2 linked regions of the Drosophila melanogaster genome follow. The protein of the gene in region 1 interacts with the protein of each later gene in a pairwise test. Each region holds a gene or a part of one and is shown on either strand. Other genes may lie near its edges. The genes, in order: lbl and Cerk.

Region 1 (5,096 bases):
GGTCCGCCATCTTGGGTCGCCTAATGAAAGGATATAGAGCCGATACATTTGGCTTATGAATTTGCAGAATTAGAGGCGTGTCGGATCGGTTGAATGGGAATGGATTTGAGTGCCGGCTCGAGTGGTTCGCTTCCTAGGGGCGATGGCTAATTATGATTGACAGGGCGTGTCTCGTCTATTGAGGCGCCCAATTAAGAGTCGTTTTATAATTGATTTTGAATATGAAGGCAATAGCGATAGCGAATGTTCCCAAGCCCCGTCAATTTCTCACTTCCAAGGCAAGCGAAAGGAGAGAATGCCCTGGCTCGTCAACTTTAGTCAGTCAAGTGTAGGCATTAATCAAACATCGCGGCCATCTTGCCACCAAAATAGGGGGCAGTCGAAGGGATTGGAGAAGGGCCCTTATGCAAATTCAGCGTCATAAATTGCGATGTAGGGTTCGGGTAAAATACATCTAAACAACACCCTTTCAAGAGACTGAATAAACTGGATTTTATATTAACATACTGTGCTACTCATTTTGTCAGCTGGGTACCTGTGTACTTTTGCTGGATCAAGTTATTATTTTGTAATTTTATACGTTAAACATTAAAAGCTAATTTGCCCATACTATGTAGTGTAAAAGTCCAATTTGTTGTAAGCCCTTGATGAGCCCAATAATCATTGGTAATTGATGCTCCGCGCTTTAATAAACAGATACAAACACAAATTTGTTGAAATTGCCACTTCCCCTGATTTCTTTTCCCATCTCGAAATAATCAATTATACTCGTTTTCAAAGGGCAGTGTAGAACCCATTATCGATTACGGCTCGCCAGTTACATCATTTCACTTAGCCGACTCTTCAGTCACATTCCCACCGGCAAAGGGCGCAATGCAGTTAAATAGACATTTGCATGCAAAATTCAAGGAAAAGCGAGAAATAAAAAAGAAAACCAGGACAAACAGCGGAGCGAAATTGAATAAAAAACTGACACTGACAAACAAACGAAGCGAGGCGCATACAGGGCGCATACGTGATACAACGAGCGGACCAAAGTTGCAATCAATTTGGAAATGCATTGAGTTGAGCTGTGGAGTGGGAAGCGAGGGAAGTGGCAAGACAAACGAATGTGTGCCAGCAAAATGCACTTAAACAAATGGAAATATAAATGGGAAAATATAAAATAATATAATCATAAATTGTGTGTAGAGAAACTAACTAACTAACAAGATGCAGCTAGTTATTAGATCTAACAACGATCTCAAGTTAACAAGTAATAAATGTGAAGAGCAAAGTAACTGTCATGTTGTGCCATTTATAGGTTATTACTTTTGAGGTGCAGAATTCGTTCGCTTTTTAATTTATGTTGAGGAAGTTTGAGGGAGAAAGACATTTTTACATTACTATAATATTTTTCATAGGCACATCTATTTATGACAAATAAACCTCTTTCAAAAAGACGTTCTTGAACGAAGGATTGTCAGTTCGGGGAACTGTTTTTCCCAGTGCATCAGAGGTCTCGAAACACGGATTCGAAGAGGCTTGTTTTTCCAGTGGAAAATAGATGAGGAGTCGAAGCCAACGGTACAACGAGACATCATTATTGATGACAATTGAGTGGGCCAAAAGAGAGCTGCGAAAAAGCGGGTGAGCCAACAATTACGATAATTAACGCAGTCAGTCGCCTGGAAAGCGACGGGAAAGAGAGGGAAATAGTGCCGCCCCAGAGAGAGAGCGAGAATGAGAGAGAGAGAGAGAGGGAGGAAAGAGAGCGCATGTCAAATTGTACAAATTAATGACGTTCGCACGTTGACAGCGACTTTTGGTCGGGTGAGGGGGTCTGTATGGCCCTCGACCAACTGCTATTGGTCCTCTGGTTAGCTCTCCCTCTCTCCATCTCTCTCTTTTCTGCTGGCACGCCCCCTTGGCGAGAGCGAGGCGGCGTTTCCAATTAGACAAGCTGCGCAGCTGCGCGAGTCCGTGACGTCATGGGTGCCAACCAGTTTGGAGGCCCCAAAAAGCAGTTGAGAGAGCTTGGCCAAGAAAGAGAGACAGAGAGCCGAGCAGCATTAGCATCGCATTCTGGCCACGAGCCATTTTCGTTGTTGGTGTTTGTGTTGCACGTTGTGCCGACGTTTTTCGTGTGACAGCCGCGCGTTTTGCCGACGCGTTTTTAATCGCCCGTAGAAAAGAGTTTGGAGCTAAGCCGTAAGGATACAGCCAGGATGTGCTGAGTGGCCAAAGGAAAATACACCTAGAGATGCCGCAAAGAACTCCCAGTCCCGCTAACTCTGATGTTTCGGTGGGTTCGCCCAGTCCACCGCCTCTGAGATCGTTGAATATGAAACGATTGCGGCTTTTGAGGAGTCCTATTAGCCTGGAACATGACCGCCAAAAGTCATCACCCGTCAGGGTCAAGAGCTTTTCCATTGCCGATATCCTGGGGCGAGGGCATGAAGAGGATCGTGTGGAGAAGAAGCCGGAGAGAATTGCCATTCCCAATGCTTTACCAGGAGTACCTGCTCCATTGGCTCTGATCAACGAAAGATTGCAAATACCCTTGGTGCCGAATTGCCCTCCGCCGGCTGCACTACATACATTTTTATCGCCCGCTTTGCTCCACAGCTATGAGCAGCGACTGGCCTGGGACTACCAGCGCCAGCTCCAGGAGCACTTCCAGGCACAGGCGCAACTCCTCCGGCAGATGACCCTGAATCCCGCGATCATTGCCTCCGAGGACGGCAGTTCAGAGCGTTCCCAGCGATCAAGCAGCAGCAATGGCAGCACCGAATGCTGCAGTCCCACCCAGGCGGAAAAAGTGGAAAAACGTTCCCAAGAGGACAGAATGGAGGTTCCTAAGAAGTCGCCCGAGGAACAACCAAAGGGGGCCAGCAAATCAAGTGGAGACACTCCCTTGGATGCCCTCTTCCAGCTGTCCACCAAAAACTTTGACGAAGAGCAGGGTGAGTAGTTTTCAAGAGAAAATATATTCCTCTAAATCCAAACAGAAGAAGACTTTGCTTTTAAACTGCGGAACCCAGTGGACAACCAAAAATCATATTCTTCATATTTACTATATGTAAAAAAGTACAAACAAAATTATAGTGCAGAGATAATAGATATTTCATCAGCTTTTTCTCAAGTTTTATCAACACCCCTGAGTATATGAGCTTTTTGTTATATATGATTGGAATATCTTCAACATAAAAATATCCACAAACTGTAGAATTACTTACTCCGCGTTCACCTCTGTGTGCACAACCGCAATCAAATTACATTTTAATATAAACTGATTTCCCAACGAGACCCATCATAACCATTAGCCTGGCCAGCGATTGATCAATTGTTGTCATTACGTCTTGATGAGATTCTGCTTAAGGCGTAAAAACAGTAGTGAGGTCAGCCTGCTCGTCCGAGGTGGCTAAATCAATTTCAGGCCAGCCGGCTGGCAGCTCGCTCGGCATCGCCTTTGATGGCAATTGCCTTTCCCAGACCCAGACCCAGTCCCAGTCCCATACCCATACCCAGATCCACTCGAAGGCCCCAGCCCGGTCATATGATGATGCTCTAGCTGCGGCGAGCTGCTGCTCCAACTCGAACTCAGACTCCAGCTGATGGCTGATGTCTGATGGCTTTGGCGCATGCGTATCGTTCGGCATAATTTGCTTAGCGGCGTTGATTTCTCGTTAAGTCGCAGACGCAAACCGATTTATCCCACACTCGGAATAAAAACAGAAACTGCCGGGAGTCACTGGGAAAACTATTCCTCATAATATCTTCGTTTGGAAAACACATCACCTTGATACAAATTATTGTACAAACAACTAACTAAGAGTATTTAAAAATATCCTGAACGGAACATTTCTTTATTTATTATATCTGCAAATCAATTTCCATCATTTTTCGGTGTAAAACAATATTGGCCATGAATGTCTATTAAAATATCTTCCCACAGCGGCTGTCATATTTTTTCCGAGTGCACTGACCAGCAATCCATCAGCGAACCCATGGTCTGCGCTTTTGTTCATCAGCTACTGAAATTGAATTTACGCGCCGCACGTACATCAGCCAATTGGTTCGTGCTCCACTCTAGATTGCCGCATTGCCGGATTGCTGAGCTGTTGGGTTGTTCGGTTGCCACAGAGCCATCTAATCAGCACCAGCTGATTTGATCGGTTGATCAACTGCTACTGGCATTGAGTGCCGCCCGGGATGATTATGATTATCGCCGAGCTGCACTTAAGCGCCGCAGTTTGCGAAAATTGTATTGCTTTTTCCCAAGACAGCATCCGGTGTGGAAGTGGAAGAGAAGACGCGAGGTTGGCCATGGACTGAACCCTTTCTACGGCTGCCTCCTGCAATTTGCCCGGCTGATCAAAAGCCGTAACCGGCCAGTTGAGGGAAAGATCTGAGACACTTCCGCCTGGTAATTAGGAGCAGCGACAACTCCCATTGCAACGCCATCGTAGCCCCACTTGGGGCTTGGGCCTGCTCACCGCTCATGACGATTGCCGGCAGATAAGCCATAAAGAGGCCCAGGCAGCACATACAAAATAATTACAATGAAAATGGCTGAAAAGTTGCAGCTATTTGAACAATGGACCTGTCGTTAGGTCTTGTCAATTACGCGTAGATACCTGCCACATTACGTCACCGAAGAATGGGTACCCTTTAACACGTTTCAGCAGAGTCGAATGTTGCCAGAAGGGTTTCTTTCTTTTAGATCGTAGAACGGTTTCCTTACATTTTCTCAGTTAGTATGTAGAATTTCTATGGTTCCGCCAATTGAAAATGGAAAGTGGATAATTACTGGGGGAACTACCCTCTTACAGGGTATACCGGCAAACGGATGGCGACTTGGGCACAAAGAAAGCCCGGTCGTGGGGCGATCAGCACGGTCGGTGGCTGCCGCTGAAATGTGGGCTTGATGAAACGCCAAGACAATTGGCACAGACAGCCGCGTTATTGAACGCACAAACGGCACAGAGCGGCGGATGCATCCCTAATTACAATTTAATTACTAAAACTTTTCCCACTTGACAAAAAGGCGGCGGCCATGGCAGTTGAGGACCAGAACACCAGAAGACCCAAAGACTGCGACGCAGCCGAGCATG
Region 2 (5,071 bases), about 16 Mb from region 1:
TCGGTTAACTTGCAACGTGGGAGTTAGTGGGCCGGATTTTACGTACATATGTATATCAGAGCTCTGAAGGCCTAATCAATACTTTCGTTTATCTATAGACCGAGTTGTTTATAATTTAAATGCCTGTACCATAAACAGAACTAATAGAACTGTGTCCGATTTCTTTTAACTTTGAGCTCGTTGACTCACGCCAACATCTAAGAAGCACATGACAGCAGTAATTATTTAACAAAGCGAAAAAGTCTAGTACATGTAGGTCGATGTGAAGAAGGAAAAGACAGACACATTGCGGAAATGTAAACTAGCGGGTAAATTGATAACCACACAAAAAGTTCGAATGACATGGAGGGGAAATGCTCTAGATATATGTACAGCTGTGTTAAGAAAAATAGCAGTGCTTTGGACTTGAGTGTTTAAGATAAAAAATTCTTATGATTTACAGTTTTAATGGGAAATTTTTTTTTATAATATCATTAGGTATTTAATTTCAAACAATTTAACAAATGTTTCGCTTTTATTTCTTTAATAGTTTCGAAAATATAGATTAAAACAACATAATAGGCAGAAATTCTGGTTTTCAATGAAATAGCAGTGCTATGAAAAAATAGTAACAAAATTCAACTTGACTTAGAACGAACTTAGTCTTTCTTTTTAATATGTTAATTCGGGCCTAATACTTGGCTGGATAGCCTTTGTTAGCCAGCACAGCCTTACACCCACGCGGCATGGAGTCCACCAGGTCCTGGCAACGTTTGGGAGGAATTTTTGCCCATGCATCCTGCACAACTTGCCAAATCTGAGCCTTAGACGTCGGGGACTTCTTCCACACATATTGTTTAATGTCCCCCTACAGGTTTTCAATCGGGCTTAAATCGGAAGATGGTGCTTACCACGGCATTGCATCTATTCCATTTTGGGTGAACCTATTCTTAGCCGATTTGCATCTGCGTTTCGGATCATTATCCTGTTGGAATGTCCATTTTAAGGGCATATTATATTCAGAATATGACAATAAGACATCACTAAGTATATTTACATATGCGTTTTGGTCTATAATACCATAAATCATATGTTATGGACTCATAACCATTGTAAAAAAACAAGCCCATACCAGGATTTTAGGTCCACCGTGATTGAAAGTCTTCAGTGGGTGTTTTGGGTGGTACTCCGTGTTTGGAGGTCGTTAGATATACTGTAGTGAACCACTTCCACCAAATAGCACTATTTTTGACCGATCAGTCTAAAGGATATTACGCCATTTGCAGACTGGCCAGTTTCGGTAGGTTTTAGCGAAGGTAAACCTTGCCTGAATAAGCCTTGGGCTAAGTGGGGGAACCTTTCGTGGACTCCTCGCACTGAAATTTTAACGTCACTGATTCCCAAGTTCAGCTCAGACTTTATGTCCCTAGAGGATGCAAAAGGATAGGCTTTGCTCTAACGAACTGTGCGTCGATCCTCTATCTCTGTGGTTTTACGTTTGGTACCACGGTTTTCGGGCTTCCATTCATATTTAATGGTATTGGATACCATTTTGGCAGCACATTCAAGAGTTTTTTGAATGTCCTTAATGCTTTTCCTTCCTTTCTAAGCTTAAGAATTAACATTCTTTTCTCCTGGGAGCAGTGCTGTCCTCCACCCACTAAAATATAATTTAAAATTTTTTTTTTAATTTTTTGCCCTTTTAAATATACGAATTAACTTAACCAAACTCACTTTTTAGAAAATAATGATCATTTCGGAACTTTACGTTGGTCAAAACCAGGCACTGCTATTCTTATGAACAGCCTAAAAATTGCGATTTTGCTCAAGAATGTAAATAAAAAAAGGATAACAAGAAAAACTAACCGGCTTTTCTTTTTTTTTCCTATCTACACATTCAATTTAACAAAAATAAGTGGAATAAAAAGTCGATTCCGAAAAAGGACATGGAAAAATACCTTTGTATTACTTAGTTTCCTTCGCACTGCTATTTTCTGAACACAGCTGTAGATATGTACGAAATACAAACAAATACGTCAATCTTAAACTCCAGAACTACTGACATTATTAGAATCGTCAACCCCTCCACCATTTATCTCGTTTCACCCTTTTGAGCGTTATTCAATCTTGACCCGCTTTATAGCTGCCAGACATCAGCCCATGTCTGACCTTTTCGACGGTGCACGCACCTCACAGCCAAAATAGCAAAAGCAAAGCTACAAAATATTATAAATAACTTGGGGCAAGTTCCCTTTGACACGTGAGGGGTCATTATTCAGTGCTATAGCGCAGATGGTCTGCTAAGATCAAAGGAAATAGGTACACGAATAGGTTTTCTGCCAATTCCCAGAATACATTGTTATGTTAAAATAAACTATTAGTATATGAGTAAAAATGAAAACAAAGTAGATACTTATTTTTTAGTTGCTATTTACTTGCAATCTATGCTTGGCAGGTCATTAAATTATTATTAATTAAGGTCCCTGAAATCCAATTTAACCCATAGAAGTAGACATTTCTTTCCCAAGGAATAAGTATCGCAGCATCGACATCGATACTTTGCACCACCAAAACAATAACAGTGCACATATACACCGAAGGGTCCCGGTTCGCTTGCTCTAGCCGCAGTGCGTCAGAAGGGTATAGCACCCTGGGAGGGGGGGGGGGGTGGGGTGGTGCAGACAGGGACAGCTGTCATTTCCATACTCCGGGTGCCGTTATCGCAACGCAATACAGCTGTGTAGCACCAACAACTCAGCTGTTGACAAGAACATGTGTGTATACAGGCGTAAGGGTGTGTGCGTGCGTGTGGGGGTATGTGCGTCTGGCTTGAGTTCTCTGCGTTTAATTCCAACTTGGGTGCTCGTGTACCTACTTATTCTCGATCCTAGTCCGTTCTTCCAATTGGAGTGCCAGTGTGAACTGGTTGGGGAACTCACCTGGTGGCCAGGTAGGAACGTTTATCCATACAAACACGGCTGCACTTTCGAAGTCGTTGCGCTGTTTTTCCGTCTGTTTATGGGGAAATCAAGAAAACTCGATACGGATGTGCATTGCAGTTTCGCACACTTGCACTTTTTCGCTTGCACACAAACAAATGCACACACACAATTGGAAAATAGCCGACGTGCAATTGGTGCTAATGGCGTTTCGGCATCTCCCGGTTTCCCGTTTTAGCCACACTTTCCACCCCCTACTCGCTGGAGCACAAAGAATTTACGAGAACACCAGAAATGCACTTCCGTGGCCGTTACAAAAAACACAGGCGGACAAATCGAAGCGAAGTGTACGTCCGCTCGCCAGTGTGACCGTACATATAACTGTGGAAAATACGAGGCAGACCACCTGACTTGATTGAAATACCACATAGTTTGGTCTGGGGTATTCTCAAGTCTGGCGAGAACTAGGGCTACCTTAAAATTAACGGCATCTTCACCCAAAAATAACTGTGCCCGATATTTTTTTTTAAGTTTTCTCACCATTAAATACTACACTACTAATACACTACTCCCCAGGATCAAATCACTCATCCCAGCATCCACATCATCCCAAAACTCTACTGCAGCCGCCAGATAACCAACAACATTAGCTGCGCAGCTTGCAGCAATTGCTCAACGGTCACCAATGACACCGTGTTGGGCGGGAGTCTCCAGCGGGTTACGGTTGGTCCTTGTGTCGATGTGGGGACTCCGGACTTCTTCCAGGTAAAGTAGTTCAGCTATGAGTTCAGTCGGGTTCAAAATTGGTTGGTGGCCAATATAGCCATTTTGTCAATTTGCAGAAGACACAACAACTGCTCAAGGTCATACTCCTAGACTCACGGATAAGATATTCATCCAGGAACCAAAAAAGGAAAAAATAAATTTAAAATGTTAAGAATTATTTTATAATCAATTTTTTTCACTTTTGTTTAAATCCGATTGGCGAAGTGATTGTTACGCGTACATACATTATACATAAATTATCAAGGAATTCTCCTGCATTTAATTTCGAAATTCCTCGGGATTTCCGCTGGAATCTATTTCAATAGGTTGCACTTTAGTAGAATATTACTTTCGTACATTTAATTTTAAAATAGTTTTAAGAGACATCTGATACTAGGTATCTGATAGCCTGGTCATCCTAATTTCGTGTTCGCTTTTGTTATTTTCGTTACTCGAAGAGTGTAAGGTAAATTGAATTATAAGAAAAGTAGGCAAAACTTAGGATAAGCAATAGTTCGGGCATTCGACCAAAGCGTTCTCATGATTTCAGCTTTCTCTTTTTATTATTTGGTAATAGGACATACGACTATACTTTTTTTTTTTTTTTTTTTTGTTAATTCCAAATAAAACTGCAGAAATTTAAACATTAATTGGGCTTAACTAAACCAGTGGAGTCCATAAGTTTATAAGTAATCTAATGGAGTGCTATTGATAATTATTTTCAAACTGTTAATTTATAGATATATTTGGTCATACAAACTTTTTAAAGCGTAAATGAATGCAAAGAACGCAGGGTATACAAAACCCGATTAGAGATCTCGATCCGGAATTGTCAGTTTTGATTTACCAGCTTGTAGGACAGCCTGTAGGGACAATTAATTACACCTAAGCCCTAACTTTCGGAAAATGTGTGAGTATCAAATGGACTGTAGACCGCCACCCGCAGCGCGCTAATCCTTCCGCCAGCAGCGTCTCCGTGTGGCAAGTGCAACAACTGTCCCTGCGGCACCAGCGGCGGAGCCCCACCCCCCCAGCAGCCGCCCCACAGGCCACCCCCCTCGTACGCCCACCAGCCGCAGCAGCAGCCGGACAGCTGTCCCTATCCGGGTCCGCGGGGCCAGGGAGCAGGCGGGTGCCAGGTCAACTCGACGCAGCCGCCGGGCGATCCCGCCGCATGCAGCCTCTACCAGAGCCGGGGAGCCCCCACCGTGGAGTGCACGTGCACTCAGAACCGTAGCCGGCCACCTCCGCCATCCGTTCAGGCGGACCACATCACGTGCAGCCGGGGTCCGCGGGAGCAGCCGCCTGCCCTGGAGACCCGCTGCACCTGTCGCGAGAAGCCCGCCAAGACGGAGTGCCACTGCGCCCCGCCGGTGGCCCCGCCTCCC

The links.
Region 2: the proteins of lbl (region 1) and Cerk interact in a two-hybrid assay, tested with the Drosophila melanogaster proteins (one large-scale study listed by BioGRID).

What each region holds. Positions count from the first base shown.
Region 1 is NT_033777.3:21,431,114-21,436,209, reverse strand, and holds the start of lbl (ladybird late), read left to right. Parts: upstream 1-2,076; 5' UTR 2,077-2,242; coding exon 2,243-2,945; intron 2,946-5,096.
Region 2 is NT_033777.3:5,365,003-5,370,073, forward strand, and holds the start of Cerk (ceramide kinase), read right to left. Parts: upstream 3,305-5,071; 5' UTR 2,919-3,304; intron 1-2,918. Other genes in the region: CG31542 (uncharacterized protein), read left to right, coding at 4,590-4,593, 4,653-5,071.